Notamacropus eugenii: one gene and its partners. The protein of the gene in region 2 interacts with the protein of the main gene of each other region in a biochemical or structural test. Links are inferred from orthologs where the notes say so. Each region holds a gene or a part of one and is shown on either strand. Other genes may lie near its edges.

What was found.
Region 1: the proteins of CUL3 (region 2) and DCUN1D3 form a complex in vitro, tested with the Homo sapiens proteins (3 studies listed by BioGRID, with this or other methods). The link is inferred for Notamacropus eugenii from reciprocal best matches to the Homo sapiens genes CUL3 and DCUN1D3.
Region 3: the proteins of CUL3 (region 2) and KCTD17 form a complex in vitro, tested with the Homo sapiens proteins (3 studies listed by BioGRID). The link is inferred for Notamacropus eugenii from reciprocal best matches to the Homo sapiens genes CUL3 and KCTD17.
Region 4: the proteins of CUL3 (region 2) and DCUN1D4 form a complex in vitro, tested with the Homo sapiens proteins (2 studies listed by BioGRID, with this or other methods). The link is inferred for Notamacropus eugenii from reciprocal best matches to the Homo sapiens genes CUL3 and DCUN1D4.

What each region holds. Positions count from the first base shown.
Region 1 is NC_092874.1:398,219,013-398,226,842, forward strand, and holds the start of DCUN1D3 (DCN1-like protein 3), read left to right. Parts: upstream 1-4,670; 5' UTR 4,671-4,769; intron 4,770-4,785; exon of another isoform or gene 4,786-4,851; intron 4,852-5,129; exon of another isoform or gene 5,130-7,830. Other genes in the region: LYRM1 (LYR motif-containing protein 1), read right to left, coding at 4,127-4,282. UniProt on the Homo sapiens protein: Contributes to the neddylation of all cullins by transferring NEDD8 from N-terminally acetylated NEDD8-conjugating E2s enzyme to different cullin C-terminal domain-RBX complexes and may play a role in the cell cycle progression by regulating the SCF ubiquitin E3 ligase complex, after UV damage.
Region 2 is NC_092877.1:323,403,327-323,411,500, reverse strand, and holds the start of CUL3 (cullin-3), read left to right. Parts: upstream 1-4,955; 5' UTR 4,956-5,116; coding exon 5,117-5,182; intron 5,183-8,174. UniProt on the Homo sapiens protein: Core component of multiple cullin-RING-based BCR (BTB-CUL3-RBX1) E3 ubiquitin-protein ligase complexes which mediate the ubiquitination and subsequent proteasomal degradation of target proteins.
Region 3 is NC_092874.1:294,156,505-294,164,490, forward strand, and holds the start of KCTD17 (BTB/POZ domain-containing protein KCTD17), read left to right. Parts: upstream 1-4,740; 5' UTR 4,741-4,865; coding exon 4,866-5,114; intron 5,115-7,811; coding exon 7,812-7,920; intron 7,921-7,986. UniProt on the Homo sapiens protein: Substrate-adapter for CUL3-RING ubiquitin ligase complexes which mediates the ubiquitination and subsequent proteasomal degradation of TCHP, a protein involved in ciliogenesis down-regulation.
Region 4 is NC_092877.1:103,461,179-103,469,128, forward strand, and holds the start of DCUN1D4 (DCN1-like protein 4), read left to right. Parts: upstream 1-4,897; 5' UTR 4,898-4,959; coding exon 4,960-5,134; intron 5,135-6,389; exon of another isoform or gene 6,390-7,261; coding exon of another isoform or gene 7,262-7,271; intron 7,272-7,950. UniProt on the Homo sapiens protein: Contributes to the neddylation of all cullins by transferring NEDD8 from N-terminally acetylated NEDD8-conjugating E2s enzyme to different cullin C-terminal domain-RBX complexes which are necessary for the activation of cullin-RING E3 ubiquitin ligases (CRLs).

The DNA of each region.
Region 1 (7,830 bases), on a different chromosome or scaffold from region 2:
GTTCTCAAACACGAAATACAAATGGGGACACTATTATCTGGGAATTTTCTCAAAAAGATACATCTCAATCATAGCAAATAAATGTACCAGTTTCAAATGTTATGGATTTCTCTATTACACACACAAGACTATGCATGTATTGGGGAGTTCTCCAATCAGGCTACTGTAACCTGGATAGTAGTTGATTTTCCCAGAGAGAGAAATTTACATTAAAACAGAACCTGGGTCCCAGATTCAAAATAAATGGAGTAGTTATTTTCCATAATGGCACATTACAGGAAAGAAAAGGCAGTAGTCAGGTGTGAACAGTTATCCTGAATAGAATATGGAACTAGCCACCAACAGATGAAAGCTAGCCCAAAGTTAAAGATCAAATCCACGTGCTTTAGAACTAAAGAAATGTACTGTGAATAAACAGGATATAATTAATACTGGTCAAATAAGAAAGGCCTTCTCTGAAATCTAGGAAATATAGATGGGAAGTACAAACACTAATATAATTCTTTCATTTGTAATGATTTGTCTAGCAAAGTTAAGTGTGAAACTGACAAAAAGCCTTTAGTTATATTACTAGAGTTGGGACTTTTTTAGCATGCAACTCAACTTTCTAATACAGCTAAGGTATTACACAGTTTCTGTCATTTCAAAAAGATTCCTTAAATTAGCTTATAAATTCCAAACATGTTTGATTCACTAAATGCATTTTAAGTGATTTCTGTCTGCCACATGACGACAAGGATGTCCACATACAGACTGACCATAAATCACCACATGATAAGCTGTGCTCTGACCTACAGGAAACGCCAAACTGTCTTTCCTGGACTCTCATGTGTTGTCATAGGTGGTACAAACAGGACAACACTGTTCTTGTGGGCTATGAGCCTGAATTTAATTGTTCAATGAGAGATTTCTGTCACCTTCTCTCTTTATGGGGCCTAAGGTGCCAAGTGCTACGTTTGCCCTAAACAAACATGTAAGTGCCTACTATGTGCAAGGCATAGTCTTACGCTGGGTATACAAGGAGGAAAAAACTTCCCGCCTTCAAAGAACTTTCTATGGAGTAGAAATAACAGAGACACAGCAAGTAAATACAAAATGAATTCTAGATAAATACAAATTATGAAGTGGTGAAAGGAAGAGCAATTATAACTGAGGAAAAAATTAGGAAGTGTTGGAGAAGAGGGGCCTCTCAGGTTGAAGCTTGAAGGGAGCTAGGAATTCCAGAAATTGGCTGTGTAGGGGAACTACGCAAAAATGGAGTTAGAAACCAGCTTACCAAGGAGTTAAGGAATGAAGAGTGAGGAAGCAAGCAATGAGTACAGATAGCTTTTCCTATTATTCCTTTAGGTTCATTACATCACCAACAAACAGGAAAATTGGGACCTTGTTATCACTACTCTCAATCTACAGGGAGGATTTCAATTTTTGCTAGGATCAAAAATTAAGGCACTTAGCAACATCCATAAAACAGCACTGGCTCCTTGATTTCTAGTTGACAGATAAACTAAATTATTCTGCTTCTAGGAATAGCGATGTGGCCATTGCTAAACTAGGCCCACAGGATGAAATCTTGCAATCTCCCTCAGTGTATATATTGGTTTCAGCTACTTGAGAGATCTAGAACCATGACTAGGGATGGAAGAGAACCAGATTAAAGGTTCTGGCCAAGACCATCTTAAATACCCAGACCAGTAACTTTCTTGACATGCTCTCATACTTTACAAATGCCTTTTGGATGTCTCTCCTTGGATGTGCTGTACCATGGCCCCTCAAACTTTATATGCTCAAAACTGAACTTATCTTCTCTCCCCAAAACTGCTCCTGCTCTTAACTTTACTATTTTTGTTGGTGTGGTCCTACTCTTCCAGTCACTTTGGAAGAATGAAACCTTTGAAGATGAGTCACCCAAAAATCTTTCCTTCTCATCTCTTTCATCTTCTATTTCCAATCAGTTGCCAAATATTGTCTAGTCATTCCTCACATTTATGCCCTCTTCTGTACTCACCCTTTCTATGGATATGTAGTCAAAAGACCTGGGTTCAAATTCTGATTCTTTCATTTTCTATGTGGTGCAAGTCACATCCCCTCTCAAAGTCTAATTTTCCTTATGAAGGGGTCACCCTAGAGGGGTTTAACCCCCCTTTTAAACTTTTTTTAATGTCATAATTATATTTCAACATAATTGGTTTCCTTTGTATTCTTATATCTTTTACTATATGCATTTAAAAATATGAGAGAAAGGTTCTACAAGTTTCACCTGATGGCCAAAAGGGGTACAAGGAAACAAAAAAGGTTAAGATCATCCTGGCCTGGATGGTCTCCAAAGTCCTTCTCACAGTACTAAGCTTCTAGGATCCTAGTTTTAGGGTGCTCATTTTTTAATTACACTATTTAGCAGCCTCTTATTGTTCTTCCAATCTGCAATATTCCTCCTTTTCCCATTCTCCCCCTTCCAACTGAAGTTCATCAAAATGTGTCTTTCTAATGCACAAGTCTTACAACTCTTTATACACTCCACTCCAGTCACAGTGGTCTTCTTACACTTACTTGCACACAAAACATTCCACCTCATGACTGTGCGTTTTCACTGGCTGTCCCTCAAGCCTGGAATTGCTTTCCCTTCTCATCGCATCTCATCTCCTCTCCTGGTTTCCCTGGCTTCTTTAAAGTCCCAGCTAAAATCCCAACATCTCACAAGAAGCCTGTTCTGATCCTCCTTAATGCTGGTGCCTTCCCTCTGTACATCATCTCCAGTTTATCCTGTATATATCTTGTTTGAACATTTTCCCCTGATTAGACTGCAAGCTTCCTGAGAAAAGGGACTGTTTTTTTTCTTTCCTTTGTATTGCCAATACTTAGCACAGCAAACCTGCTTGACAAATGCTTGTCAACCTGACCAGCCTTTGGAGACAGACAGCACTTTCCAAATTCCACCCAACTGTAATTCTCCAACCAGATGAATTCTTTCTCTCCCTGCCCTCAAGGCTCAATTCAGGTGGTCCTTCACACACCTTTACCTGGTCTAAAACACTCTTTCTTTCATTGGGCGCCCTCCATCCCCCCACCTCCAATTTTGTGACACACAAGTCTACTCTGCTGCCTTCCCCACTTCCCAGGTGTGAGCTCCTGGAGGGCAGGGCTGAGACTGTCCTTCCCAAACTGCACACAATTGGGACGCACTCCCATCCCCCGTCAGTACGATACCTTCGATGTGACCTTCACAAACCCTCCCCTGGCTAGCCTTGGGTTTCTTTGGCTCCTCACCTTCCATCACTCCCAAGGGTCCGGCAGCACCGAGTTCATATCCAGCCTCGGACACTTACTAGCTGTGCGGCCCTGGACGAGTCACTTAACCCTCTTTACCTCAGCCTCTTCTTCCATAAAATGAGCTGGGAAAGGAAACGGCCACAAAGCCCTAACAGGGGTCCCGAAGGGTCGGACACGACCGAAGCGGCTCAGCGACTCGGCACAACTCCCAGTCTCGTCACTTAGGACCGCTCCACACCCCCCTCCCCGCCGCGGCCCGTAAGCTCCAGGAAGGCGGATCGTCGGGATGGTTCCCAGTCTGCACCCCGGGAATCCTCTGTCCCTATGGGGCTCAGCTCCCGCGCCACTCGCTCCCCCAAACCTGCTCCAAGCTATCCCTCCAGCGCCGCATTTCCTTCACGGACTGGGTCATCCCCGCCCCCACCACTCCCGCCAGACAGTATACACAGCACCGCGCAGCGACGCCTCCGCAGAGTGGACGCTCCCGGAGGGCAGCGGCTCACGGCCCTTCGCCCAGGCGTCCCTAGGCCCTAGCGTCCAAGCAGCTACGAGGCCAAGAAGGAAGAGGATAACTGGCGGTCCGAGCCCGGCCCAGAGACCCCCGCATCCCCACCCCCACCCTCACCAGCAGAGGGCGGTTGGATAAAATCCGCGCAGGTAAATGACCCCGGGGAAATGGCTGCCGCCCGAGCCCACGGGCCACGAGGGCTTTAGGGGGAGGGGCAGGACACGCCACCATGTATCCTAGCAACGCGGCACCAAGCCACGGCTCCCACCCCACTCCCCTGCCTCCAGCCCTAGCGAGCCAACCGCGATCTCCATCGCCCAGAGTAGACCACCTTCACTTCTTAACACTCACGCTGTGTCCATCACGCCTGCCCCCCCACCCACAGTGCGGAGAAGGAGAGGAGGGCGTGTCGGCAGTCCTCCGGAGCCGATGGGGACACACCGGGGTCTGGCCCTCTAGGCCAGGTGGGACCGAACCATCTGAGGAAACATAGGTGGGGAGCATCATTCATAGACAAGAGGAGGCTTGAGTCTCAGACCTCAACCCGCCGCGAAATTTACCTTTCGGCGTATCCGCTAAAAATACGATCGATCTTTTCACCTTCCTTCTCTTCCTCCCAGTACCCATCTCGCGTCTGACCCCACCCCCTACCTAACCACGCTGTGGTTTGGTCCAGTTCCGCCCAGGCGATTTCCTCCTCCACCACCCCGCCCCCGACGGGGAGGAGGTGAGAAGGTCGGGTCGTTGCCCTTACTTGGCGACAGCTTCGCACGTTTCTGCGTGCGTCACTCCGCAGTCTGCCCTCCTGCTCCCTCGGCCCTCCCTCCCAGAGCTGCGGGGTTACCGGAAGTGATGATGCAGGAGGAGATGGAGGAGGCGGGGCCTCCGGGCGACCGCCGCTGGTGGTGTTGCAGATGAGGAGGAGGCGGCTGCGGTGTTGGAAGAGGAGGAGGCGGCGGCGGTGGTGTAGGGAACTAGAACGCGAGCGGAGATGGTAGGTGGTTTGGACCCTCTGGGCTGCCGTCGTTTCCAGAAAGGGTTTGGCTGGCTGGGCTGGAGGATCCTCGGGAGCAGCTGTGAGTTGGGTGGAGTGAGGAGGGGGAGTAGTGAGGTAAAGCTGAGGGGGGCGGCTGTGGGGGGGAAATGGGTCGACGGCTGGTCCTAACTGTTCACCCTGGAGGTGGCTGTGAGGACAGCGTTGTGCCTAGTCACCTGGTGCTCGGGAAACTTACCTTTTCCTCACCCCCCTTGTCCTGACCACCCCCCCAGCCCCCACTCTAAGGCTTTGGGCGGGGGTGGGGGGATGGGGAAAGGGGGCCGGGACCCTTTGGGGTTGGGTGTGTGTCAGGGAACTGGAGCTACTGGGATAATGTGCCCCAGGTAAGAGCTTTGGGGTGCGTGCCTCAGTGGGGGGTGGGGTGGATGAATTCTCCAGTCTCGACCACCCCCCCCCCCCAACTCTATTCATAAACTGTAGTGTTCAGGAGCTCGGATCCGAAGGCCTCTCAGCACCTTTGCAGTAAATGATAAACATCTGTGCCTAGGGTAATGGGGCTGGAGCCTTTGGCTATATCCTGTGTAGGAAATGAGATGTGGTGACAAATATTATGTTGGCTTTTTTTTCCATTCCCATTCTTTTCCACTATGATCCCATGATCCCAGCTAATGTGTCTGGGTGACTATCCTTATTATTTTATAAAGTGACACTATTAGCCTGGTGCCGGTGGTCACCGTCTTTCAAATTTGATGTTTAGCCTTGGGTTTTAATTGACTCAGAACTGCAAGCTTTGTACCAGCGGTCATAGGCTCTGTCACTCTGGGAGCATCACTCAGTGCCTAATTGCTTCAGATTATAATGAATACTTATTCGTTTGAAAAAAATCTGACCTCAAGGTTTCGGAGTTAGGGTGATCCCTTATCCCTTGCAAGGATTTAAATGGCATCCTAGCCTAGTAATCAAAGTCTGCTCTAAATACTTTGTGTATGAGGAATTTACACCTTGTCAATTATTTCTAGAATGATTTGGTGTTCTTCTAATTCTAGATTCTCTTTCTCTCCACCCACACTTGATGATGCACTTTAGAGAGCAGAAAACCCCATATTACTTTTTTGTTTCCACAATTGGACAACAGCTCTTTATTATTTTCTTTTAATGTGTTTGGCACACAAGACTTTTAAGGCCTATAGAACATATGCTGATTTTTTTCATTTTATTTATTTAGATGTGTACATAGCTAATCTTAAATCTTTTTGGTTTGGTTTTGGAGAGGGAAAACAATAACTAATGGGAAAATTAAAAATAGTTGTAAAGAAGGCATTTCTTTTGGTATCTTACTGTATTAAAGAGAAAATAAATGAAGATATAGTGCCTTCACAGATCATCATTTGGATTTTGGAGCAAGGTGCCAGCCTCAACTATGTAAAAATTCCTGTTTTGACACTAACATTTTATTCATCTGGAAATATGAACTGCATTTCTGGGAGACTTTAAGAATCTGTGTCCAAATTTCTTGCTATTTCTTGATTGAAACATTTATCCATGAACTACATTCTTCTGTTATAAGGTTTGGCCACTATATGTATTTTTAAATCTACATGTATGTATTCCTTGAGGAAGCAGTGAGGCACTGAGTGATGCTCTCAGTGTCACAGAGCCTGTGATCCACTGGTACAAAGCTTGCATTTCTGAGTGATTAAACTCAAAGGCTAAACATCAAAGTTGAAAGAAGATGACCACTGGCACCAGGCTAACAGCGTCGTTTTAAAAAATAGTAATGAAAGTCACGCACACACTTCCTGGATCCTACCCCCAAATCAGATTACAAAGTTTTTTTGCAGCTGTAATTTACATGAATATAGTGTTTTGTTTGATAGCCTGGATAAAATAAGTAGTCAAGATGGTGAAATATGACGGGTTCTCTTATATTTCCATTATACTCCATCATTACTCAAGTAGGCTTTTAAAATTGTAATTAAATTTTTCTTTTACTGTTGGACTGTTATCAGAAATTAATCCTGTGATGAGGGCTAAGTTAGAGGCAGTAGTCACCTTGGTTTTCTGTAACTGATGAGTCTTCCATTCTTCATAATTACAATTCAGTAGGATGTTAATTTATGTAGTCTTTTTCTTAAGTCAAGTGTTTATATAGAATTTGCTCTTTTAAATTATGAAAAACCTATATGCCTCCTAGTATAGGAATCGCTGTTGACAGCTACTGTATAATTCTGTAATTGTATTTTGCCAAGTAATACATGCTGCTTTATTCTTATAAAGTATAGAAAGATGACACTACTGACTTATCATCAGAAGGATTGGTGCTCCAAGAATTGGCTTTTTTTTGTAGTGAGAATGGTTCAGTGTTGACGGTCTCATATTCTTAACTGGTCTCTTTTGTGACTGAGGGACATAATACCTAGGCAAGAGGTATCTTTTGGTATTCTGACTGGATTAAAGGCAGGGTGTGTTGGAGCAAGCTTGGACTCAATGCAATGACATTTACACCTCAGAAATTGGCAAATGATACAAATGAGGGCTTGATTTATTGTTTTGTTGATTGTCTAGATTTAAGAAAGTGCTGGAGAAAATGTTAGTAATGCAGATTAAATTTAAAAGTGTGTTGTGAATACATTTCCTCCATCCCCCCAGAGAAATGGTTGTTAAACATTTACCGACATACCACTGACTAAGGAGAGCCTTTAGGAGATGAATCCCCTGTGCTAGGGGTCCATACTGTCAGTGGAAGAGCAAAGTTAATTGCCTAATTTGGGGCTTGAACTGGAAAGACAACATGGTATAGCGTGTGGGACTTCAAGAGTTAAGAACATCTAAGTTTGAATCCTGCCTGCTACACTTGCTAGTTGTGTCATTGTGGGCAAGTTATTTAACTCCTTTGAGCCCATTTGTAAAATGGTGTTAATAATACCTGTAGTAGCTACTGTACTTGCTGTAGGAACAAATGAGATAATATATAAAGAATTTTGTAGGCCTTCAAGCCAGCTATTATTACTAGTTATCATTGAACTCATGACTCTTTACCTCTTGAGTACCATTCTCT
Region 2 (8,174 bases):
ATAGCATGGTTCTAAGTTATATGTGTATTTATGTGTATATATACACACATATAAATATAAATTAAATATTTTTCAAATGGTGGCCTTCTCTAGTGTGGGATGGGGGGGGAGGGAAAAAAGAAAAAAAGACAGATTGGCACTTAAAATGTAACCAAAAATTTTTCAAATGTAACTTTTTAAAAAGTATACCAGATCTGTAATAACTTTACTATTTACTACTTGCATAACTATAATTGATTGGGGTAGTAATTAACAAGTGCTACTATGAATAGGCATATATAGTAATATTTAGATATATGTGTATAAATATATTTTAGGGCTTTTTTCTCTTATCTTCCTTGGAATATATGTGTATACACACACACACACACACATACACACACACACCCACACCCCTATGTATGCACATACATCTACATATGTGTGTGTATGTGTATACACCCAGTAGTGTGAAATTATTAGATCAAAATGTAAAAACAATTTAATCAATTTTTCTTAATTCCAAATTGTTTTCTGAACAGTTGGCCTAATTCACAATTCTACCAACAGTGAGAAATGATGTCAAAAAACACCAATGAAATATCTTAAAAAGAAAAAAAAGTGTCTTCGTTTGCCTGTCTTCCCATAGGCCCCTGTCATTGATGGGTTCCTTTTTTTAACATCTTTGCTACTTTGGGGGATGTGAAGTGAAATCTGGGATTTTAAAATGTGTGTTTCTTTATATGGTTGATGCTATTTAGTATCCTAGATTTAAGAGCTGGAAGGGACCTTAGAGATCAACTCACTCATTTTATAGATGAGAAAGCTGAAGTAGAGGAAGTGTGGTGATTTGTCTAAAGTCACCCATATAGTACAGACAGACAGACCTGGTGTGTGACCCATGTCCTCTGACCCCAAATTCAACACTCTCTCCATTTTATCACATTGGCAATATTTCTCTTGAAGACAATTTGCTCATATCTTTTAACTATTTATTAGGTAATGGCACCTAGTCTTATATGTTTATGTTTATTTGTTATAAATATTAGATATCAGATTTTGATGCAAAGGCTCTCCCCGCCCCTGCTCAGACTTTTTTTTTTAAGTCTGGATGCATTGATTTTGTTTATGCAAAAGCTAATCACACGCTGTTTTTTCTGAAGCAGCTGGTGGCACAGTGAATACAGTGATGGACAATGAGTCAGGAATATCTTGGTTCAAATGTGACAGTAGACTTCCTAGCTATATGACCCTGAGCAAGTCATTGAACCTCTCCTTGAGTTTCCTCAGTTGTGAAGTAGGGATAAAAAATAGCACCTACATCCCAGGGAGCTTTGCAAAACTTTAAAGCACTCTCTATGTAAATGCTAGCTGTTATTTGTAATGACTAAAGAGGTGTGTGTGTTTGTCTTTCGTTGCCAAAGAAGACCATGCCATCAGAGAAATAATGACATGACTTGCCCTTGACTTTGTTTTGAGTGAGAGAGGGCTGTGCAGGTCACCAGCCTCACTTCTCTTCCAGATCCATCTGAATCAATGACCAGATATTCTTCAGGATGACTGGAGATGACCCAGGATGAGGCTATTGGGGTTAAGTGACTTGCCTAAGGTCACACTGCTAGTGTCAAGTGTCTGAGGTGAGATTTGAACTCAGGTCCTCCTAATTCCTGCACTGGTGCTCTATCCACTGCACCACCTAGCTGCCCTGACTAAAGAGATAGTCAAGAAAGAAGGGTGGAAGGTGATCTAATTCAGAGACAAGAAACCTGGCCTCTAGTCTTGAGTGCTACTGTTTTCTAGTCAGTCAGATGATTACTCAAATTTCTATAGAGCTTTAAAACACTTTTTCCTCACAATTATCAGGCAGGTGCTTAACTTTACTAGTATCCACATTGCTGATAATGAAAGTGAAGTTTTAAGAGTTGAAAGGTTGGGGCTAGAATTTTTATCTGATCCCTTTGAACTCTACAAGTCAATTCATTTTGGTTAAGTTGTAAGCTTTTCTGTTATCTTACAAAGACCAGTGTCTGTCCCATCAAATCAGACTTGCCATTGGCCAAGTGGTTATTAAGATGGCTTAAAACACTAACCGACCATCTTTAAGACTGACAGATTTCTCTCTCTGTTGTTTAGTAGACATGTTTGATACAAGGATCTTTTCCTCTTACATGCTTTTTTCCAACCCCAGATTGCACATTTAAAGACCAAAGATGAAGTAGCTAGGAAACTCAGCACATTCTGCGGGTGTCCTCTATATGTTGGTAGACGGGGCTGTCATTTTCCCAATGTCAGTGCATGTTCAGAATGAACAAAAATATAGGTTGGCAAGCATGTGAGATTTTGGCAGCTACTCTCCTTGCTCTGCTTTCTCGGCTGGGTTAGGAATCTACACACAGAAAAGGCAGCACCCATAAGCTTTTGATGTAGAGGTCAAGGAATGGGTTGAGTAAGAGGAAGTACTAAGACTAGAAAGCATTTTCAATAATCTGATGATGTGCTACTTTTCTATAGAAGAAAAAAGCCTTCAAATTCATTATCTTCTTAGACTCTTACGTAAATTGTACTGAAGAGTAGTTCCCATTGCCCCAAAAGCAAAGAATCCAGATATAGAGAAGGTGATGGATTTCTACTACGAATGAAAGGACAAGCTATCCCATTATGACAACTTATTTTGGTTATTCTAGATCCAAAAATACATATGTAGACCCAAGCAACAGAAGGTCTTTTGAACTATAACTGTGTCCAGCTTAAGCAGAAAGAAAATATGAAAATCTGGATTTACAAAACAAACTAGGTGACTTCATTTTTACAAAAGGATTCCTTTATACTTCCTTTGGATAGTGAGATTCCCAAATATATTTAAAGTAGGGGTCAATTTTCAAAATTTGGATTTAAATGCAAATTTCTAGAAACAGCCTTGCACAATGTAGCTGGGAAGGTAGTTTTGACTTTGGTGCTAATGATCTAAAGGCATTCCAATGAAATAGGAGTGTGCTGCTGAAGTCATACAGTAAAGTCAATAGCAAAATACTGATTGCTGGTATAACGTAATAGGCCTAAAAAGGTAAACTTAATTAGCATCAGTATGCTCAGTTTCTTCCTTGGATCCATAAGAGCCTATGATACTTACATGGCACCCCTCCCAATCATACCTCATTGTTCCAGTTCTCAGATGACCTATATTTAGCCTCAGTAGTTACACACTTGCCTCAAGCAACATCCTCATTTCTCGTCTTTGTTTTGATTAGCAAAGAACACCAGCACAAACAATAATAAAACAGAACAATTTTTTTGCAACATGACGATAGACCAGTCAACAAAGTAAGGTTGAAAGCACAACACCCGGTAGTTTAGTTACTCAATGAATTCATTAACCTGAGGTAACTTCATCCTCCAAAAAACATGAGCTCCCTAAACAGGTCTGATCTCAAAAGGAACCAAAGACAATGTTTTCAAGTGGAAAGCAAGCTGCAGAAAACACTGGCAGGTTTTCTATGTGCAAATCTGAATTTCGGAGGGGCTTTAAATAGTCCTTTTCTAGAGCTTTTTGCAAATTTAAGAGCAGTTAGGCAAGTAAACAAAACCAGGAAGCAAAATTGATTATAATTGGAAAGTAAAACCAACGAATCAACCCTGGTGGAGCTCCTGAATGAGATACCAAAAATAACCAAAAAACAAACCCCAAGACAAAATTCCCAAACCTTAAGAGCTAACTAAAGAAAAATTATTTAAAATGTTTAATTTTAAAGATTATAAGTAATTGTGAACAGAATCTCAATAGTTTAAACTGTAGTTTCCATCGTGCGTCTACAACTCGATCCCCTATGTCTGCCTGGTTAGCACTTAGTTAAGGAAATTGACATGACTCAATTTGCTACAGTAACTGAAGACGATTTGTTTTCGGTCAACGCCAGGCCCCGAGCACCGCTCCCCGCACTCCGGGGCCTGGAGCCGCGCGCTGCCTCGGTGAGCCCGCAGGGAGGGGTCACCTGGCCGTCTCATCCTGGAAAGGCAGCTCTGGCTTGACCCCCACTCCCAACCCCCACCAAGCTGACAGCAGGGCAGGTACGTCCTCCTGTCTCCCACCCACTGGTTCATCCTGTTCCAGGATGCCCTAGAAAAACAGTCTCAGAGCTGGGACGCTCCCTCCCCGCCAAGGACTACGGTCTCCCCAACAGAGCCCACAACGAGGATCTCACGCCTCACCACAAACAGGGCCACTACTCCCACTTCCACGTGACCAGGACCTCGTTCAGTTCTCCACCAATCAGGAGGCACCGCCACCCCGAACCTGGTCTCGGACTCTCCAGTTTCGAGGACGTAGCTTTCCACTCCCCGCCCTCAACCCCTTCCCTTTCCCGCCCCGCCCCATAGGCTCCTCCCACTTCCCCCCGACTCCCCCCGCCCCCATCCCTCCTCCTCTCTTGGCTCATCCCAACCCGCTCGCCCGCCTCAGCGGCGTACCCCGCTCCGCCTCGAGCCGCTCTCGCGAGATCTGCGTACCCTCTTCCCCCTCCCCCCCACGCTGCGGCCGCCTCCCCCTCCCGTCCCACCCCCTACCCCCCTTCCCCCAATCTCTCTTACTCTCTGGCTCTCCTCCCTCCCTCCCTCCCCCCTCCACCCTCTGGGCCGGATCTTGTCTCGCTGAGGCGGAGGAGGAGAAGGAGGAGGAGGCGGAGGTTCGGCCTGCGCAGTGAGATGTTTGTCCGTCGCCGCCGCCGCCGCCATCGCGGAGGAGCGCGATAGAGGGAGCCTAGCCGCGAGTGACGGGCCGGGGGGAGGGGGAGCCCCGCGGAGCCGCCGCGACAGCGCAGCCCCCGAGGGAAGGCCGAGCCGCAGCCGCCGGGGCCGGGCCGGGGCCGGGGCCGGAGCCGGAGCCAGAGCCGCCTGAGTCGAAGCCGGGGCCGGGGCCGGAGCCGGGGCCGGGGCCGCGGGGGTCCGGCCGCCTCCCCCACCCCCGTCGTCCCCCTCCCCCTTTCCCAGCCCGCGGCGTTCGCCGCCCTATCCCGGGAGCCGCCGGCCTCTCCGGCCCGCCCGCCTTCGATGTGACACGGGCGCCCCAGAGCGCGACCTGAAGCCGCCGCCGCCGCCGGAGCAGCAGCAGCAGGAGGAGGAGCAGGGGAGGAGGAGGAGAACCATGTCGAATCTGAGCAAAGGGACGGGCAGCCGGAAGGACACCAAGATGCGGATCCGGGCCTTTCCGGTGAGTCTCTCCTCCGCGCCCGGGGCCGAGGGGCCGGGGGCCCGGCCGAGAGACGCACTCGAGGCCCCGGGCTGAACTCCCCCCAACAGGCCGCAGGGCCGGCCGCTTCCCCCTCCCCCCACCGCCGCCCCTCGGGCCGCGGGGCTGGAACCTTCCCGGCAACGGGGGAAGCTCGGGGGAGGGGGTGCCCCGCGGGGGCGGGCAGCGACGAGGGGGCGCCCCCGGGCGGCCCCTTCCTGGCAGCCCATCCTGCAGGGCCGGGCCCAGCCGGCCCCCGAGTGCTTGCGCGCCCCCCGCCTGCAGGCCCGGGGGCCCGGCCGCCCCTGCCCGCTCTTACGGGGGCTCCCGGCGGGGCTTCATTGTAAGCCTGGGCGCGCGTGTGTGTGCGTGCGTGTGTGTGTGAACTTTGAAAGGGGCATCGCCCGGCTCGGGGAGGAAAGTGCGGGAGAGGCTGCGGAGCCCTCGGGCCGCGAGCTGAAGGCGCTGCGGCCGCTGACAGGTGTCCCGGGGGCCACGTTGCGGCTCCGCGGAGCATCTCCTCCCGGGGCGCCGCACCGGCCCGGCAAGGCCGGCCTCCTGCACCGCGCCCGGGCCCCGCAGACCCGGCCCGGGCACCTTGGGCTGGGCTCGGGACAAACAGACGGCACCTGCCTGGCAGAGAGGTTTCTGAACGCAAAGCTGTGGTAACCGAAACTCCAGCAGAGTAGGGGTTAAGAATTGGGTCTTTTCAAGGTATGTGCATGGAGGCAGAGTAACGAGGGAGAGAAGTTCGGTTTAAGTTCCGGTAAGAAAAGAGCTTATTGTATGACGTGATATGAACAAGAGTTGTAAGTTCCTTTTTTTGATTTTTATAAACAAAGTTCATGTTTTTGGATTTGGTAGGAGAAGTGCCGGAGAACTTGAGAACCCTTGCTCCTGAACTTGGAAAATGCAGTAGTAGCAGTTAAAAATTGGGTATGGGGAGGCGGCCGAGAAGAGATAGCTCTATGGAAAGTTTAGGGGATTAGGCTGTATTGCACTACTTTAGAAAGTGTATGTCAGTCTTGTGCGGTAGGTAGGGCAAGTGTTATCCCCACCTTACAGATGAAAAAACTGAGATTCGCAGAGATGGTGACATTCTCAATGAAGGAAAGCCATTGATTGTGGATAAAAGGAGCTTTGCTGACTGACAGTTCAGGAAGGGAGCAAGGGAGCCTTCTTTATTGTTTGGAGTAAGATCCTGGTTGTACTGACAGATTGGAAAGGGGGCTTGGAGAGTTTGTAGTCTAAGTTTCTATTACAGAGGAGGAAACCAAGGCCCAGAGAGAAGAGAAGCTGTTTGCCTAAGTTCCCATGGGTCCGAGTGGTAAAAGGCAGGGATTTGAACCCAGATCTCCTAACTAAACATCACTCTCCTTTCTACTGTTTCAGTAACAGTCTTTGATGGAATTCATTAGCACCTTTTCCTTCAGAGAAAAATGGTAGTGTACTAACATTTCCATTGATCAGGTCTTAAGTTCAGTAAGTTACTGCATATTTAAATTTTTTCCTTTTTTTAAAATAAATCCTCAGGATTATCTAAGCAATTGCTTTTTAATTTTAATATAAAAGTCATTACAATATGTCAGATTTTTGTACGAAATAGTACAGTTTTCCAGCTTAACTTGTATTCAGATATATTATTAAAATACAGCAGCATTCATGTTTATAACAGATCTATGTTAGGATTAAACTTGGTTTGACATTCCTACTTCCCTTTTGCCTCTGGTACCTTTGACCATGTTCAAATCTTGAACCTATTGTTTTTACTTTAGCACTCCCCATTAAATTTCAGCTGTTGCATTAACAGAAGAGTATGAATATTGCTAATTAACAAGATTTTTGCCTTGTTGCTTGAAACAAAAGTTACAGCACCATCATGGTCTCATTATAGTAAAGATACTCTATTAAATGTCTGCTATTTGCTAGATCCTGGGACTGCAAAGACAAAAATGAAACAAATCCCTTCCTCAAGGAGCTTAAACATCTAGCTAAGGGAGACAACATTAGCATTATAAGCATATACAAATTGGATTTTTTTTTTAAAGACTGTATTTTGGAGAATGGCATTAAATGTAACTTGGGGATCAGGAGATGCTTCAAGTAGAAGTTAGCACTTAAGCTGTGCCTTGAAAGTAGCTAGAGTTCTGATGAGGGAGTGCAAGAGCTTGGAGAAGGGAGATGAGGCTCCTTGTGTGATAGAACAGCGAGAAGATTGGTTTGCTTGGACTGTAGTCTACTTTAAGGAGAGTAGTGTGAAATAAGATTGTAAATGGTTAGATGGGGCTAGGTTGCAAAGGACTTTTAAGGAATATTTTATTCTTTGTACTATATAACTATATATATAACTATATATAACTATATATAATATAATATATATAATATAAAATATAATATAATATATATAATATAATATATATAATATAAACTATACTTTGTAACTAGGAGCCATTGAACTGGGAGCCATTGGTGTTTATTCAAGTATATCACAATTGTGCTTCATAAATATTCAATTTCCATACACATTCACTTGTAATTTAAAAGAATGTTCTTTATCAATATCTAGTTCTTAAGTTCCTAGTTAGTGTGGCACCGGTGGCCACACGTTAATTACAGATAAGTACCTCTATTATAATGTATTTTGCTGATGACTTACTTATCTTCTGGTATAAAAAGTTCGACCGACTTTTCTTCTTGGTTAGCAGCTTTTACTACTTGAAAAGCTAAAGTTGGAGTCACAAGTCAGAAGTAGCGAATGAATAGAAATACCTGTAGAGAAAATGTTTGTGGTCTTATTTAAATCTGTTATCTCAAGTTTGACTGGAGTCGTAAATTAATAGAAATTGGGGCTTTAAGGTCTCAGAATTTCACTTCAAATTAACTTCATTACTCCTAGAGAGTTCAGATGTAAGAAGATTAATCAGAAAAGTTTTTTTTTCACAGTTTTTAGTCTTTTCATTGCAACATGTCAGAT
Region 3 (7,986 bases), on a different chromosome or scaffold from region 2:
AGGATAAAAAAAGATTACATCTGTGCTTTGTAACCTCTAACACACTCTGTAAATGTTAGCTATTAATATCCTCTTATTTCTTCCCCCACCAGATATTTTCACAGTTAGAAGAAAAGATTCTTCCAGGGTATTGAAACAGGTCTGAGGAGGAGGTTGCTATTGCTAGAATGAATGAAGACTCTCTGGCAATTCTTTGCTCTCTTCCCTAAAGAAGCAGCTCATGTAGAGGAAAGAGCCTGGGAGCTGGAATCCAAACACCTGGGTACCAGTTCCTGCAGAGTCACTTAATAGCTATGTGAGCCAGGGGGTAGGTCATCTGACCTTTGTCTCAGTTTTTCATAGCTTCCCATCAGATTCTGAGATGGATGAAACCACAGAGATAACGATGGCTCATTTTTCAATAGGGCTTTCTTCAGCGAAGCCCAGAAAGGTATAGTACTATACCCACTGATGAAGAGGAGAGAGGCAGAGAGGCAGAGGCAGAGAGGATAAGGAAATTGCTTATGGCTATAAAGTTATTAAACAATTGGGCCAATTAAACCAACAGGTCAGTCTTCTGACTGTGAAGCCTGTGTTTTTTCCACCATAGACCATGGTGCCACTTTGGATCTGCAAAATGAACAGGTCGCTCTGGATGTCACTTACACATTCTGATATCCTCAGGAGTTCTCAGGTCCCTTCCAGGTCAAACTTTCTACATTTTAAAGTTCTTTCCAAGGCTGACATTGCAGGTTATTCCAAGGTCCCTTCCAGATTTAAGATCCTGTTTTCCAAGGTTTCTTCAACTCTATCATTCTATGTTGTGTCATTCTCTGTTTTAAGGTCCCTTTCAGGGATAGTTTGTGTTCAAATCTTCAGCATTCAAAGGTCCTTTTCAATATTGGTTGTTGTTCTTCATTCTTGAAGAGGACCAAAATGACATCACCATGATAAAGTGAAATTTCAGTGTGTCCGACTGTGGCTGATCAGACCAATATGAGCTCGCAATGCTCTACCACAGATAGTCCATGTGAATATTTGGGGTGGATTTCCCAAATTTGTGCATCCTGCGTTTACTTTGTGAAGTAAATTTTTCAATATTGGTGGTCTGTTCTATGGCTTCTTCCCACTCTTACATTCTATGCTATAAAATTCTATATTCTAAGGCTTCTTATAAGTGTCATATTTTATTAGACATTAGAATATCATTAGATTTTTTAAAATTAGAACATCTTCTCTTCTAAAGTGCCTCCCAGCTGTGACATTTTGTTCTAAGGTTCCTTTCGTCTATCTCTTATGTTGTCAAGTTCCTTCCAAAACTAATATTATGTTATTATTATGTTGTTGTTTTTAGCACATCTTCTGTGTTTTCTCCAGTCCTATGGTGTCATGTGTACCCTCTATCGTCCTTTAATCACTGACATTAACTGCTGATTCTGTAAAAAAAAAAAAACACCTTTTAAGTTGTACTCGTTGAGGGCAGCCAGATAACCTGTTACTTTTTTGGAAGGCACTGTGAAGTGCTTGGAACTTGGTCAGACATCGAAGACACCAAGGTCATCCAATGAATCCTGGGCCATCAACAGTCATCGTGACTTTTATCGTGCCACTAGACTTCCATGACTCAGGAAGACATAGTAAGGCCAATGATTTTGGGAAATTCTGCCTCCCTTAACTTACTTGACTTGTGCGTGAATTGAATTTAAGTGAGACAGAGTTTTGAAAAGTTGTCAGTTGATTAAATCCAATTCATGCACAAGTCAAAGCATTGCCTGTGATATCATTGGTCCTCTTTGAAAATGAAGGATGAACAGCATTGTTTTAATGTCTCTTCTAGTCTAATATTTTAATTTTTTGACTTCTTTATTGTGGCTTCTGCTTTTCTAAATCAGCACTTATAGTAACAGGGCTCAAAGAGGATTGATCAGAATGGGTAGTTTTCCCAAGCAGCCACAAAAGCTTGTTCCATTTTCTCCTTTGCAGCACTGGAGGTCAGGATAAGTCTGAGGCGACCACAGAAGTTAGGAGATGACTGTTGCTGTAGATGATGTCACATTGTTTAGTGTAACTGATATTTGCATGACTTCCCTCACCCTTTGTGTTTAATTCCTTAGTGGCCATTAGACTTGAAGTGACTTGAAGGATTGCTTCTGCTGCATTGTAAAGGTCAGGCTGGTAGAATAGATTATTTCGTCATTACCAACCACAGTTACTAGGACCTGGACAAGCTGACAAACCCACCTCCAGTCTTCTGGGAAGGCAGAAATGTCTGGACAACATAAAGCATGTTCTCTGCACATATGTACATAGTTTTAGCTTCCACAACCCCAAGCCAGATGTGTAAATTTGGAGTGAAATTCTGTCCTGTAAGTTCTAGCACCACCATTCAATTGAAGACTATCTCATAGGTGTTACTGGAACATGGACAGGTCCTACTCCCTCATACAATGTGCATTCTGTCTTATTTGTACTAAGGATTGTCCACAAAGCTCCAACATTTCTCATTTCTTTATTTGGTTTTTGGGAGGCATGGGGTAGCTTGAAATTGGATTATTGTCTCTTTGGAAAGGCACAAATACATTCTTTCTGTATCCTTAAGAAAAGATGAACATTTATGTAGCTGTGACATCGGATCATCTGCATCTAGCATTGTGGTCTGTTCATCAACTTTTGGAATCATCAGCCTTGGGAGTGCCATGCCTGTAACTGAACACACAAGTCTGACAGTCTATCCCTAAAGATATAGGCTCCTCTCACTGTGAATTTTTCTCCTTCTGATTCATTATCATCCGAAAGGTGAATATAAAATTCTCCCCACTATTACGAGGTAGCATGGAAATTCCCTCTTTCTATGTGTAAATACCTGGTGCTGTTTGTGATCGAAGTCAACTAAATAAAGACACTTTTGTTCCTGAAGTTATGCATAAGCCAGCATTTTTCAATGATTAATCCTTTTTTTTTTTTTTACAAGCATTGGAGATGATTTTGATCTGTTTACTGAGGAGCTCACCAATGTCCTCACTGTTGTCATAGAGCAGAGGTGGGGAGCCTTTGACCTTGAGGCTACCTATGGTCTTCTAGGTCCTTGGGTGCAGCCTTTTGACTGAGTCCAAGTTTTGTAGACCACATCCTTTTATGAAGGGGATTTGTTCTGTGAAGTTTGATTCAGTCATAGGGTCACATTGGAGGACCTAGAAGGCCACATGGGGCCTTGAAACCACAAGTTCCTCACCTCTGCCATTGAATATCTTTACAGATGACATGAAATGCTTTCACTTGTCTAAATCAGATACATATAGTATTTTGATTGTGCAATAATTCTTCCCTTCCAAATTCAGCTACTGCATTTTGTGGTCCCTAGTTCCTGCTCCAATAAATGCACATGGTTGAGATTCGTGTTCAGAAGAACCATCATGTTCCATTTGGTCTTTTTTTTCCCTTCCATCCATTGCCCGTAAGATATACACAACGAGGAGAACAAAACCCCCTTTTTTCATTTCCATAAAACTTTTGTGCAGCTTTTACATGAAGGATTAGTACGGTTTCATCACCTCATACCTTTAGATAGTTTCAAATTGCTTCCCTAGTGAGTTGTTAAGATTGGACTGGTCACCAAATTTCCTTCAATGCCATGGTACTTCGAGAACATGTTAAAATGATCCATGACTTGGTACACTTCTGATGCACCTCAAAACACCTCAGCAGTGTATCATACTTCTTTCCTTTGGAGATCATAATGGCTCTGAAGAACTATATAACGTTTCCTTTTCAATGTCTCATACAGAATTTCAATAACTTAAACAGAAGAGAGAAATACATTTTTCTTTGGTGTGAAACCCAATACCACTGGACAAATCAAGCTGATCACCTTATACCTAAGATACCATTCTTTTTGGAGGCTGGAGTCTCAGGAAATTCTGACCCTCTTCTTTGCTCTCCTTCCAAAAATGCACAGCTCAACCACCATGATGTAATGAAATGGTCTAGCACCAGCATAAGAGCGTCAGGCTCTTCCTCCATGACTCCAAGCTGCTCCAGAGAAGATTCCAATTTTTTACCTTTTAAAATGCCCTGAAGTGAATCTACCATTCTCTGTGTTAAGGCTCCTGCCAGTTTTAACATTTTATCATCTTATATTGTTTCTAAAAATGTCCTTTCTAGCTCTTTCCTTCTATGATGTCATCTCTGTCTTTACTTGCCAGAAGCTGCCTGGCACAGAAGTTGAGGATTCCATCCAATCTTTCCCTGGTATGGCCTGAAGGTGATTTGCTGCCTACTTGGCTGGGGGAAAGTAGAAGCGCTTCAGCCAAATTAAAAAATTCCACTGATGCCATCGATGCAATGTTGTATGTGTGTGTGCGTGTGTGTGCGCGCTTGTGTGTATTTAAGATAATGGTGAAACCAAAAGAGTAGCTTGCTAAATTAAGTGGGAGGATGAGTGTAAAGGAATACTTCCTTAGGGAGATTTTTTTTTTTTTTTTGGTGGGGGAGAAAGGTTTAGCCTTTAGGGAAGACTTCAGGGCCTCAGTGTAAAGATCAGCCTAGAGAGGGCTTGACTTTGAGGCCCAGATGAGGTGGGGGTTTGGCTGGCAAGTATCCATCACAGCCAGGATGGCCAAGAGTCAGGCATGAAGACCTCGACTCTAGAATGGACAAAACTGGATGAGGCGGGTAAGGCAAGGACACCACATGGATGAGGTCCTCTTGGGCATCCCTCCTCTCTCCACTTCCAGGTCCCACCTCCCCCCAAGCCCAGCTAATTCAGCCCCCCTCGCTCTGTGCCTCCAGCAAACTACAGCTCCCAGCATCCTCCAGCGCCCAACACCTGCCCAGGGCTCCTCCACTTGGACTGCAGGGGGAGGGATACAGAAGAGGAGCGCAGAGAGATGAGGATGGAAGCGGGTGGGGAAGTGCAGGCGGCGGAGCGGGACCGGGGGCCCCACGCGCCGCCACTTGTCCCCGCGACCGGCCCGGGCGTTGGGGGAACCGCAGCCCGTGCCCCGGGCAGCTGGGGCAAGTGGGTCAGGCTCAACGTGGGGGGCACGATCTTTCTGACCACCAGGCAGACGCTATGCCGCGAGCAGAAGTCTTTCCTCAGCCGTCTCTGCCAAGGGGAGGAGCTCCAGTCTGACCGGGTAAGGCTGGGCCAGCGGGGCTGCGGGTCCGGGCGCTGCTCGCTGTGGGGGCGCGCCTCTGTGAGTGTGCTCAGGCGAACGAGTGTGTGTGTGTGTGTGTGTGTGTGTGTGTGTGTGTGTGTGTGTGTGTGTGTGTGTGTGTGTGTGTTTGGGAGAGGCGCCTCCTTTCTGCCTCCGCAGCCCACAGCTGGGAGCCCCCCTTCTCCCCTTGCCACCCACCCACCGGCCCAGGACAATAACATAACCCCTCCTCCCTTCCTCTTCACTTGAAACCGGAGGCGGGGAATCGTTAGGAAGCCAGGGCTGGGGGCTGGGGTGGGGGTTTGGGGGGAGTGGCATGCTATTTCCTTCTCCATGGCAACCCTGTCCCTGGCAGGAGGCCCCAGACCATTTGGGAGAAAGCAGCTCATTCCTCTTCAAGCTGTTTCCTTCCTCCTTTCCTCCCTCCGCCAACCTCCCGCCCCCCCCCCCCCCCTCACCTCCTCTCCCCCAGAGCTGTTGAGTGGGGAAGGTTCTGAGAGAAAAAGTGAGTAAGTGCATGTGGGAAGGGGCGGGGGTGCGCTTGGGTCCCTTTTTGGCCTTGCCAAACACCTACCAACTCGCAAGTGTCTGAGCTTGGTTCTCCCCAGTTTTTGCAGGGGGGAGGGATGCGGAGGAGGAGTCAGCCTGGGCCAGTGAGCTGCTACAGGAGATCTCGGGCAAAAGATGGAGTAAGGAAGACTTCAGTGATGGGATCCGAATCAGGAAGGAATCTTTAAAGAGCATTAGCGCAGGAGTCGGGGGTCCTGAGTTCCAGTTCCACCTCGGAGGGTAGCTACGGGTGTGATCCCTATTCCAGTCACTTAATCTGCCTGGACCTCACCTTCCCAGTCTGGAGCGGATTGCACTCAGTGACCTCTGAGGTCCCTTCCAGTTCTGATCAGATCATCCAGTCCACCTATCTCTCTCAGTTTTACAGAAGTGGAAACTGAGTCCTCCCTTGGGAAAGTGACTTGCCTAAGATTACACGGATAATTAGTAGCAGAGCCAGGAATTCTAAACCACGTCTGCCCTAGAAGGAGACAGTGGAAAGAACCCGGGAGCAGGAGGCATCAGAACATCCGGGCTGCAGTCCAGGCAAAGTAGATGATCATTGCTGTGACCTTGGGCAAGTCACTCAACCTCTATGTTTCTGTTTCCTCCTCTGTAAAATGGAAATACAGGGAGTACCAAAAGTCTTAGTGTGGTTTTAGGCTTTAACTAAGGCTTAAATGTGAAATGCCTCCTGTATCTCCACCTCTGGGCTCTATAGAAAGGAGTATGTAGGTAAGTAAAGGCAAACTACAAATACAGGGTATCAGGAAGGGTATCATTTCCTCTGAGAATGGAAGTTATAGAAAAGGGCACTGGCTTTGAATCCTGCCTCTTTCATGTATTTGTGATCTTGGGCAAGTCACATACTGGCCTCAGTTTCCTTCATCTGTAAAATGAGGGGTCTGGAATCAGTGAGTTCTAAGGTCCCTTTCAAGACCCCAATTTCAATACTTATGCCTTCCCTGGACCTCCCAGGGAAAAATATTATCCTAGACTCTTTTACTCTTATATGTATCCCCTTTTCTATTCTGACATTGCCACCACACTAGTCCAAGCCCTCATCACTCCACTTCTGGACTATGGTAGTAGCCTGCTACTTGGTATCTGGCTCAAGTCTCTTCTCACTTCAGTCTATCTGCCATTCAAATGTCAAATGGACCTTCCTAAAGTCTAGGTCTGACCACGTACTGCCCCCCCAGCCCCCAGTCAATAAATTGCAGTGGCTTCCTATTATTTCCAGGATCAAATGAGAAGCCTTCATTTGGCTTTTAGAGTCCTTCATGTTTGGACCCCTACCCATCTTTCCATTCTACTTGCACTTTACTCCCCATTGTGCAATCCAGTATAATCCTTCCATCTGACTCTGACTATTTTCTCTGGCTATCCCTCACACCTGCAATGCTCAGTCTCCTGGCCTCCATTCCCTGGTTTCTTACTCTCATCTTCTAGAAGAGGTCTTTCCTGGGCATCCTCAATGCCAGTGTCTTTCCTCTATGATAAGCTCCAATTTGTGCTGTCTAGAACTTGTTTGTACCTAGCTGTTGGCGTGTTATCTCCTCCACCAGATGGAGAGTTCCTTGAGGGCAGTTTGTCCTTTGCCTTTGTATCCTCAGTACTTAGCACAGTGTCTGGCACAGAGGAGACATTTAAAAATGTTTGCTGACTAGACTCTACAGATGGATAACTGAGACAAACTCTGTGCAGAGACCTAGTCTAGGCTAGGCTATTACAGAAAAAGGACCTTAGAAATTATCTAGACCATGTTCTCCATTTGACAAATAAGGCTGCTGAGCCCCAGAGACATGATTTGCCTGTGGTAAGGAAGTGAATTAGGATTGAATTTGACTTCCCGCTGTACCACAGTGGTGCAATTACGTGTGTGTGTATGTGTGTATGTGGTTTGTTTGTGTGTGCCCATGAGAGAGAGTGTGTGTGTGCCCACGTGTGAGTCTGATAGCATGTGAATGTGTGTGTGTGTGTGTGTATGTGTGTGAGCATATATATGAGTGTGCCTTCGATCATGTCACTTTTTAATAGCATTTTCAGGGGGCAGAGGGAGATGGAGAGTCCTGGAAGTGGGAGGGAGGACAGTTACTTTCCTCATCACATCTTTCTGGCCCCTAGGATGAAACAGGGGCATATCTCATAGACCGGGATCCCACCTACTTTGGCCCAATCCTGAATTTTCTTCGTCATGGCAAACTCGTTTTGGACAAGGATATGGCTGAAGAGGGTATGTTTCTAGCAGCCCAGAATTATTTCTTGTTTCTGATTTCCTCCAATCAATACTTGCTCCTGG
Region 4 (7,950 bases), about 220 Mb from region 2:
ATAAGTTCCTTAAGAAGTTCTAAGCAACAGTTAGAACCAAACATAGAACTGATTGGTTCAAGATTGGGAAAGGAGTATGATAAGAATATATATTGTCACCTTATTTAAGTTATATGCAGAGTACATCATGCAAAATGCCAGAATTAAGTTTGGAATTAAGGTTGCCAGAAGAAATATCAATAATCTCAGATATGCAGATGATACCACTCTGATGGCAGAAACTGAAGAAGAATTAAGAAGACTCTTGGTGAGGGCAAAAGAAGATCATGTAAAAGCTTGCTTGAAGCTTAACATAAAAACAAAAAACCCCCAAAACCTAAGATCATGGCATCTGATCCCATTACTTCCTGGCAAACAGAAGAAATAGATGGTGTCAAATTTTATATGCAGTGACTAAATCACTGCAGAAAGTGACTATAGGGTGGAGCCAAGATGGCAGAGTAAAAACAAAAAATTCCTTGAGCTCTCCCCTAAAGCCCTCTAAATACCTGTAAAAAAAATTACTATAAACAAATTCTAGAGCTACAGAACCCACAAAATGACAGAGTGAAACAAATACCCAGTCAAAGGCAGTCTGTTGACAGGAAGGATCTTTCGCACTGGACAGGGAGCAGCAGAGTGTAGTACAATGTGGGCCACATGGGCACAGACAGGCCAGAGCAGGTCTTTGGGGACTGAATCATTGGCAACTATGGCAGTTTTCAGACTTCTCAATCCACAAATGCTATAAAGGTCAGTGGGAAAACTCTGTGGGACCTGGGTGAAAAAGAAGCACGTCTTCTGGCTTGACCCTTCCAGTTGCAGCCCCAGGGTGGTTGGGGGTGGTGGCAGGGCCATGGTAACTGCTTCTGGAACTCTGGGTCCACAGATGGTGGGGGATCGAGCAGGCTGATGCAAAATCCCTAAAGCCTGGGACAGTACACCCGCCCCCACGGGAAGAAGAGTCCTACCTTGACAGAGGAAAATCAAATGTTTGGCTAGGAAGATGAATAAACATCATAAAAGACCTCAGACCATAGAATCTTACTTTAGTGATGAGAAAGATCAGGGCATACAATCAGAAGAGGATAGCAGGGTCAAAGCTCCTACATCAAAAGCCTCCTGGAATATGAATTTGTCTTAGGCCATGGAAGAGCTCAAAAAAGATTTTGAAAATCAAGTAAGAGAAGTAGAGAAAAGTTCAGGAAGAGAAATGAGTGATGCAAGAAAATTATGAAGAATAAGTCAACAGTTTTCTAAAGGAGACTCAAAAAATACTTAGGAAATTGACACCTTAAAAAATTGATGAACCCAAATGGCAAAAGACGTTTAAAAAGCCAATGAGGAGAATATGTTAAAAAGCAGAATTGGACAAATGGAAAAGAAGGTCCAAAAGTTCACTGAAGAAAATAATTCCTTCAAAATTAGAATGGAGCAAATGGGAGCTAATGACTTTATGAGAAGTCAAGAAATTATAAAACAGAACCAAAAGAATGAAAAAGTAGAGGACAACATGAAATATCTCATTGGAAAAACCACTGACCTGGAAAGTAGATCCAGGAGAGACAATTTAAAAATTACTGGACTACTTGAAAGAGCCTAGACATCATCTTTCAAGAAATTGTCATGCCCTGATATTCTAGAATTAGAGGGTAAAATAGAAATGGAAAGAATCTACTCATCACTTCTGGAAAGAGATCCTAAAAGGAAAACTCCTAGAAATACTGTAGCCAAATTCCAGAGTTCCCAGATCAAGGAGAAAATATTGCAAGCAGCCAGAAGGAAATAATTTGAATATTGTGGAAATATAATCAGGATAACATAAAATCTAGCAGCTTCTACATTAAGGGATTGAAGGGCTTGGAATGTGGTACTCTGGAAGTCAGAGGAGCTAGGATTAAAACCAAGAATCATGTACCCAGTTAAAGTGAGTATAATTCTTCAGGGGAAAAAATGGATTTTCAATGAAATAGAGGACTTTCAAGCATTCTTGATGAAAAGACCAGAGCTGAATAGAAATGTTGACTGTTAAATACAAGAATCAAGAGAAGCATGAAAAGGTAAACAGGAAAGAGAAATCATAAGAGACTTATTAAAGCTGAACTATTTACATTCCTACATGGAAAGATATTTGTAACTCATGAGACCTTTCTCAGTATTAGGGTAGTTGGAGGAAACAGATAGGTAGACAGGTGACACAGGGTGAATTGAATATGAAAGGATAATATCTAAAAATAAAATTATGGGATGAGAGGAATATATTGGGAGGAGAAAGGGAGAGATAGAATGGGGGGTAAATTATCTCACATAAAAGAGGAAAGAAAAAGGTTTCACAATGCAGGAGAAAAGGGGGGAGGTGAGGAGGAATGAGTGAACCTTACTCTCATCAGATTTGACTTAAGGAGGGAATAATATACACACTCAATTAAGTATCTTACCCTACAGGAAAAATTAGGGGGGAATGATAGAAGGGAGGTGGGGGGCTAGTCAGAAGCAAACAGTTTAGAAAAGGTACCAGGGTTAAAGGAGAAAATAGAATAATTAGGGAGTGGGATAGGATGGAGAGAAATAGTTTAGCCTTTCACAACATGACTATTATGGAGGAGTTTTGCATAACTACACATGTATAATCTATATTGAATTGCTTGCCTTCTCAATGGGGATGGGTGAAAAGGAAAGAAGGGAAAGAATTTGGAACTCAAAGTCTTAAAAACAAAAGTTTAATTGTAATTGTTTTTACATGCAACTGAGAAATAAGACATACAGGCAATGGGGTATAGAAATCTATCTTGCCCTTCAAGAAAGTAAAGGGGAAGGGGATAAGAGGGGAGGATGATAAAAGGGAGGGCAGAGTGGTAATCAGAATGCATGCCATCTTGGGGGGAGGGAGGGGAAAGATAGGGAGAAAATTTGGAACTCCAAAGCTTGTGTAAATGTGTTGAAAACTAAAACTAAAAATGTAAATCTTAAATAAAAAAGTGACTGCAGCCATGGAATTAAAAGACACTTCCTTGCTCCTTGGAAGGAAATCTATGGCAAATCTGGACAGGAAAAAGTGGAGACAAAAGTTTACATAGTCAAAGCTATGATTTTTACAGTACTCATGCATGGCTGTGAGAGCTGGACTATAAAAGAAAACTCAGAACTACTCAGAATCAGTGCTCTCGAATTGTGCTGGAGAAGACTTTTGAGAGTTCCTTGGATGGCAAGAAGATAAATTCCATCAATACTTAGAGAAATTAACTCTGACTCATCATTCGAAGGACACATAACAAAGCTGAAGCTTAAACACTTTGGCCACCTAATGAGAAGACAGATTTCATTGGAAAAGACTGATGCTGAGAAAGATTGAAGGCAAAAGGAGAAGGGAATGGCAGTGGATGAATTGGATGGATTGTGTCGTAGAAGCAAGGAACATGAACTTGGACAGACTTGGAGAGATGGTGGAGTCCAGAAGGGCCTGGCTCTCGGTGCTCCACCAGGTCTGGAAGAGTCAGATGCGACTGAACAGCAAACGGGATAGGGCTTTACAAGTCTTATTTCAAGTTAGGCTCTTTTACAGAGCCTATCCCTTTTACAGAGTTTATCCCTCTTTTACAGTGGGGGGCGCTGAAGCAGGCAGAGGTTAAGTGACTTGCTCAGGGTCACACTGCTAGTGCCTGAGGTTGTATTTGAACTCAGGTCATCCTGACTGCAGGCTCGACATTCTGGGCCACCCGGCTGCCAGATCTGAGTCGGGAGACAAGAAAATCAACCGAACCTTTGTTAGGCTTACTCTACATCCAGTACCCTGCTAGGCGCTGGGGACACAAAGCTAAACCTGAGATATTGCTTGCCCCCCGGAGCTCACAGTCCAGCACTGTAGGAGACAGAACCTACTTACATCCAGCACCCTGAATGAGAGGTTCGAGTACTTGTCGGGGAACTTAACCAAGTGCATGCTCATTCCCAACCTCTTATGGGTTCAAAATTGACACTTTAGTTTTGGAGGGAAAACACTAGCCGCTGGTGGGCATCCACACCTTCGAGGAGCGATGCATGCTTGGGTATGCTGAACAACCCGAAGGCCAGTCAGACAGGACTCTCCCGGACCCTCCCCTGCTAGAAAGGCAGGGTTGTCAAGGGTTTTAAAATCTCCAACAATGGAGGATATGCTTGGTTCTAGAGGTAATAGTAAGGTCATACCAACAAGCATTTATTAAGTGCCTACTGTGTGCCACGCATTCGGGAGAAGACAGATTTGTCTCGTGATGAGGTCTGAGACTTCGGGGACAAACGGGAAACCACAGCTTTTCAGACTCGGGGCTCTTAAGAGGGCCCTCCGCCTGGCCCTGGGAAGAGCAATGCCCACCGAGAACTGCCGGCTCTGCCCGGGGGCAGCTGCAGGTCTCCGGGAGAGGTCCGAGCCCAGATTCCAAGGCGCCCCCAGGGCAAAAGGCTGGGCAGAGGACTGGACAGGGCGGGGTGGTGGGTAGGGGGTGGAAGGAGCCCGGGATGGACAGAGGGAATAAGGCCAGGAGCTGAGTTTTCAGATAAAACGGAATTGACTCGCGTCTTCCCATCCCTTTCAGGCCGAGGGGAGGGGGCGGTCCTAATGGCCCCCGCCCCTCCTGGCTCTTTTGGGACAGTTTCTTGGGCTTTGTCTCGGAGGCCAGCCCCTCTCCGTGTGCTGCCTGTTTCTCCACCAATCCCTAGCCTGGGGACCCGGGGGAGGGGACTACTGCAACCTGTCCCCCAAGCCTTGCCCCTTTACACGCGCTTTCGGAGCCCCTGGGCTGATTGACAGCCGCCGGGTCCAACCGGCTAGTGGCGCAGGAAGCCTCCGGCGGGGGCTGGGGCGAGGACCGGTCGCAGGGGCCAATAGCCCTGGGTCTGAGGGGTGGGGCCTACTCTCCTTCCTCGGACGCCATCTAGCGGCCCCTCGCCTCGACCATCCACCAATGGTGGCAGAGGGGGCGGTCCGGGCCTGTCGGAAAGCCAATGGTGGAGGCGAGGTGGGCAGGCGGGGGGCGGGCTCTGAGGCCACGGCGGGTACCCTGCCAGGAGCCGGAGCTGCTGGAGCCGGCGGGGGCTTCGGGAGGCGGAGAGCTGAGGCCGGGCCGGCGGGAGCAGTGGAGGAGCTGCACGAAAATGCACTCGGATGCTGCCGCTGTCAGTGAGTAACGGGCCGGGAGCGGGTGACGAGCTTCGCGGACAGGGGGCGGACCGACGCCGCCCGGTCTTGGAGACGGACCCCCGCACCTTCCGCCGGCCCCAGCCGTTCCCCTCCCACACCGACGGAGCCCTCTGCCCCACCACCTCCGTAACTGCCTCCCGGGTTCCTGGCCCTCTCACGGGGGACTGCCCGCCGTGACGCTGCGGGTAGTCCGGTGGAGGGGGGGAGGGCGCGCCCAGGCCGGCATCCAGGCGATGGGGGTGGGAGGGCGAGGGCGCCAGGGGAGGGGGAGGGGCTGGCTTTCTTTGGGGAGTTGGGGGGCCAGGTGCGGGAGTAAAGGGGACCCGGCGGGGATGACAGCGGGGCATTAAGGCCGGGAGGGGAGGTACTGTGCTCCTGGAGAGGGTAGCTTGTGGGGAGTGGTGCTGGTGGAGGAGGGCAGTAATGGGGCTCGAGAATGGGGCTGGGGGCTGAGGACCTTAACGGGGGCGAGGGGTGGAGCCTGTGGGTAATAAAGGGGAGGAGGAGGAAGGTATTGGGACGGATGGCTTGAGGACACCTGTGTGGGGGGCGAATGAGGGTGGTGTGTTGGGGAAGGCAAAATATGCGGGTGGGGGTGTTGAAGGGTGAGGGATAGATAAAATCAGCGAGTTGGGGGGGACAGCAGAAGGGGTCTGGGTAGGGGGGACCCTAGGAAGGGGAGGGGCTCGACAGCAGAAGGAGTCTGGGTAGGGGGGACTCTGGGTAGGGGGGTGGGAGTGCTGAAGTTTGTGTGTTGTGTGGTTAAGATAATAAGAGAGGGGAATGGGGCAAGATAGCTTGAGGAGTTTGGGCATCTGCGTGGGGAGGGTCGAGGTTTGGACAGAACAATATGAGGGGGAGGGGGAACAATGTAGGGATGGGGACCGGGGGACTGTGTGGGGAGGGTTCGAACGGTAGGAAGGGGCAGGACTGACTCGGAGAACGGCACGAGGGGGCGGGGTTCTAGGGAAGAACGGTATGATGGGGGATGGGGAAGCAGCCTGGGGAATGGGGGGTGGTGGTGGTGTGGTGTGTTGGGTGGGGAGAGGCTGGACCACTGAGGGAGGCAGGGGAGAGAAGAAGGTTGGGGATGGGGGGGGGATGGGGAAGCTGAGGAGCTGGACGGGAACTGTATGGAGGAGGGGAAGGGTTGGTTTGTTGGGTGGTAGAGGGGTACGTGGGGTTGGGGTAGCAAGGCGGGAGGGGGTCGTCGAGAATGACTAGGGGGGTGTTCCCAGTTCGGTGTACGGGATCGAACTTGGCCTCTCCGGCCCGGTCTTTGGGAGTGGGTGGGAGGGGTTCCCTCCCCTATCCTCCCCTCCCCCACGCCCTAGGGGCCTGGTGACCCCGGCAGCTGGCCCAGCTGGAGGCCGGGCCAGGGTCGGCAGCACCCAGGCATGCCAATGGGAGAGCTGAGGTGATGCCCCGAGAAGAGGTGGGGTGAAGAGGGACGGCCCCCGGCCGGGGGAGGGGTCCAACTCTCTGTGACCTAGGGTAATGCGGGAGAGGAGGAAGGATGAGGCTTGCGGGGGGCTGGGGAGGAGGGAACCCAGGAGAGGCGGTGACGGCCCCGGGGGGCGGGGGGCAATTGGGCAGGCTGCTTTCGTGGCGGGGCAGTTTCTGGGTCCCGGGAGGTCTTCGACTTGTGACGCATTTTCTAATGTTTAATGGGGCTGGATTTCCCATGACCTGACTGGCCGTAGGGCCCCCTCTGAGGCCGGAATAGCCTCGTGCCTTTTTCGGTGAAGGGCGGAGGAATTTTAGGGCTATACTTTAGGCTCTAGTTGCAGCCACGGGGTTTGAAGGGAAAGGTGGGTTCTGCAGGCATCATGGGAGCTGTAGTCTTGGCTGTGCCAAAACACGGTTGGGTTGGATGCACGTGGGTAGCTGTGGAGACGACTCCCAGAATGCACGGCGGCTTTTCTGACTTGCGGGATTTCTCCTCCTGTGGCTGGCAGCTTTGCTCCTCGGAGGATCCACCTGCGGTTCTAACGCGGGGACTCCTTTGCGTTAAAGTTAGCGTATCTTCGTCCGGGAATGTCAGACTAGGTCTAGTAGGTTCGCATTTGTTTCTTAAAGCCAACAACAACATCGGCAGTCCTTAAAATGTTAAAAGGTATTTGGATTACATTTGTCGTGTACGGTCATTGTAGAAGCTCTTACTTTGGGGGCCATCTACTGAAGATCAGTTTGAGGAGAAAACAGGCAAGAAGAAAATAAAATGAAATTATAGTTATTGTTAATTTTTCAAGTATAGTATGTGTGCTAGCTTGAGGCTGGATAAAAACAGGCACTGTCTTTTGTTTTAAAAAAGTATCTTTTTTCTCTATTAATATATTTAGTAGGCTGAATGTTTCCTTTTCACCAATGGTAGGTAAGGAGACCCGCTGCTTTCACCGTTGAATTGATTAGTAATTTTAATTGTTTACTTAGCCTTAATAAGCCGGGCTTCCAAAAAGATAGTCTTAAGGTAATTAAGTGATAGGAATGACTTAATTAATTTTACATTTTTTTGTTCCATTCATAAAACTAGCATAACATAAAGTATGGAGATGACAGAAGAAAGTTACTTTAATTGTAGCGTGGGAAGCAAATGGAAGTCCAGAGGGGAGATGGAAGACAAAGGACTGACAAAAGTTCTAAGTACTGTTGATTGTGGAAAGGTTTATCTGCAAGGGCTTTACATATCTTTAGTACATCCCCACTCATTTTATAGATTAGGGAACCAAGACCCAGAGAGGTTAAGTAATTTAAGTTCATTTGACTACTTAGGAGTGGATCTGGGACTAGGATTC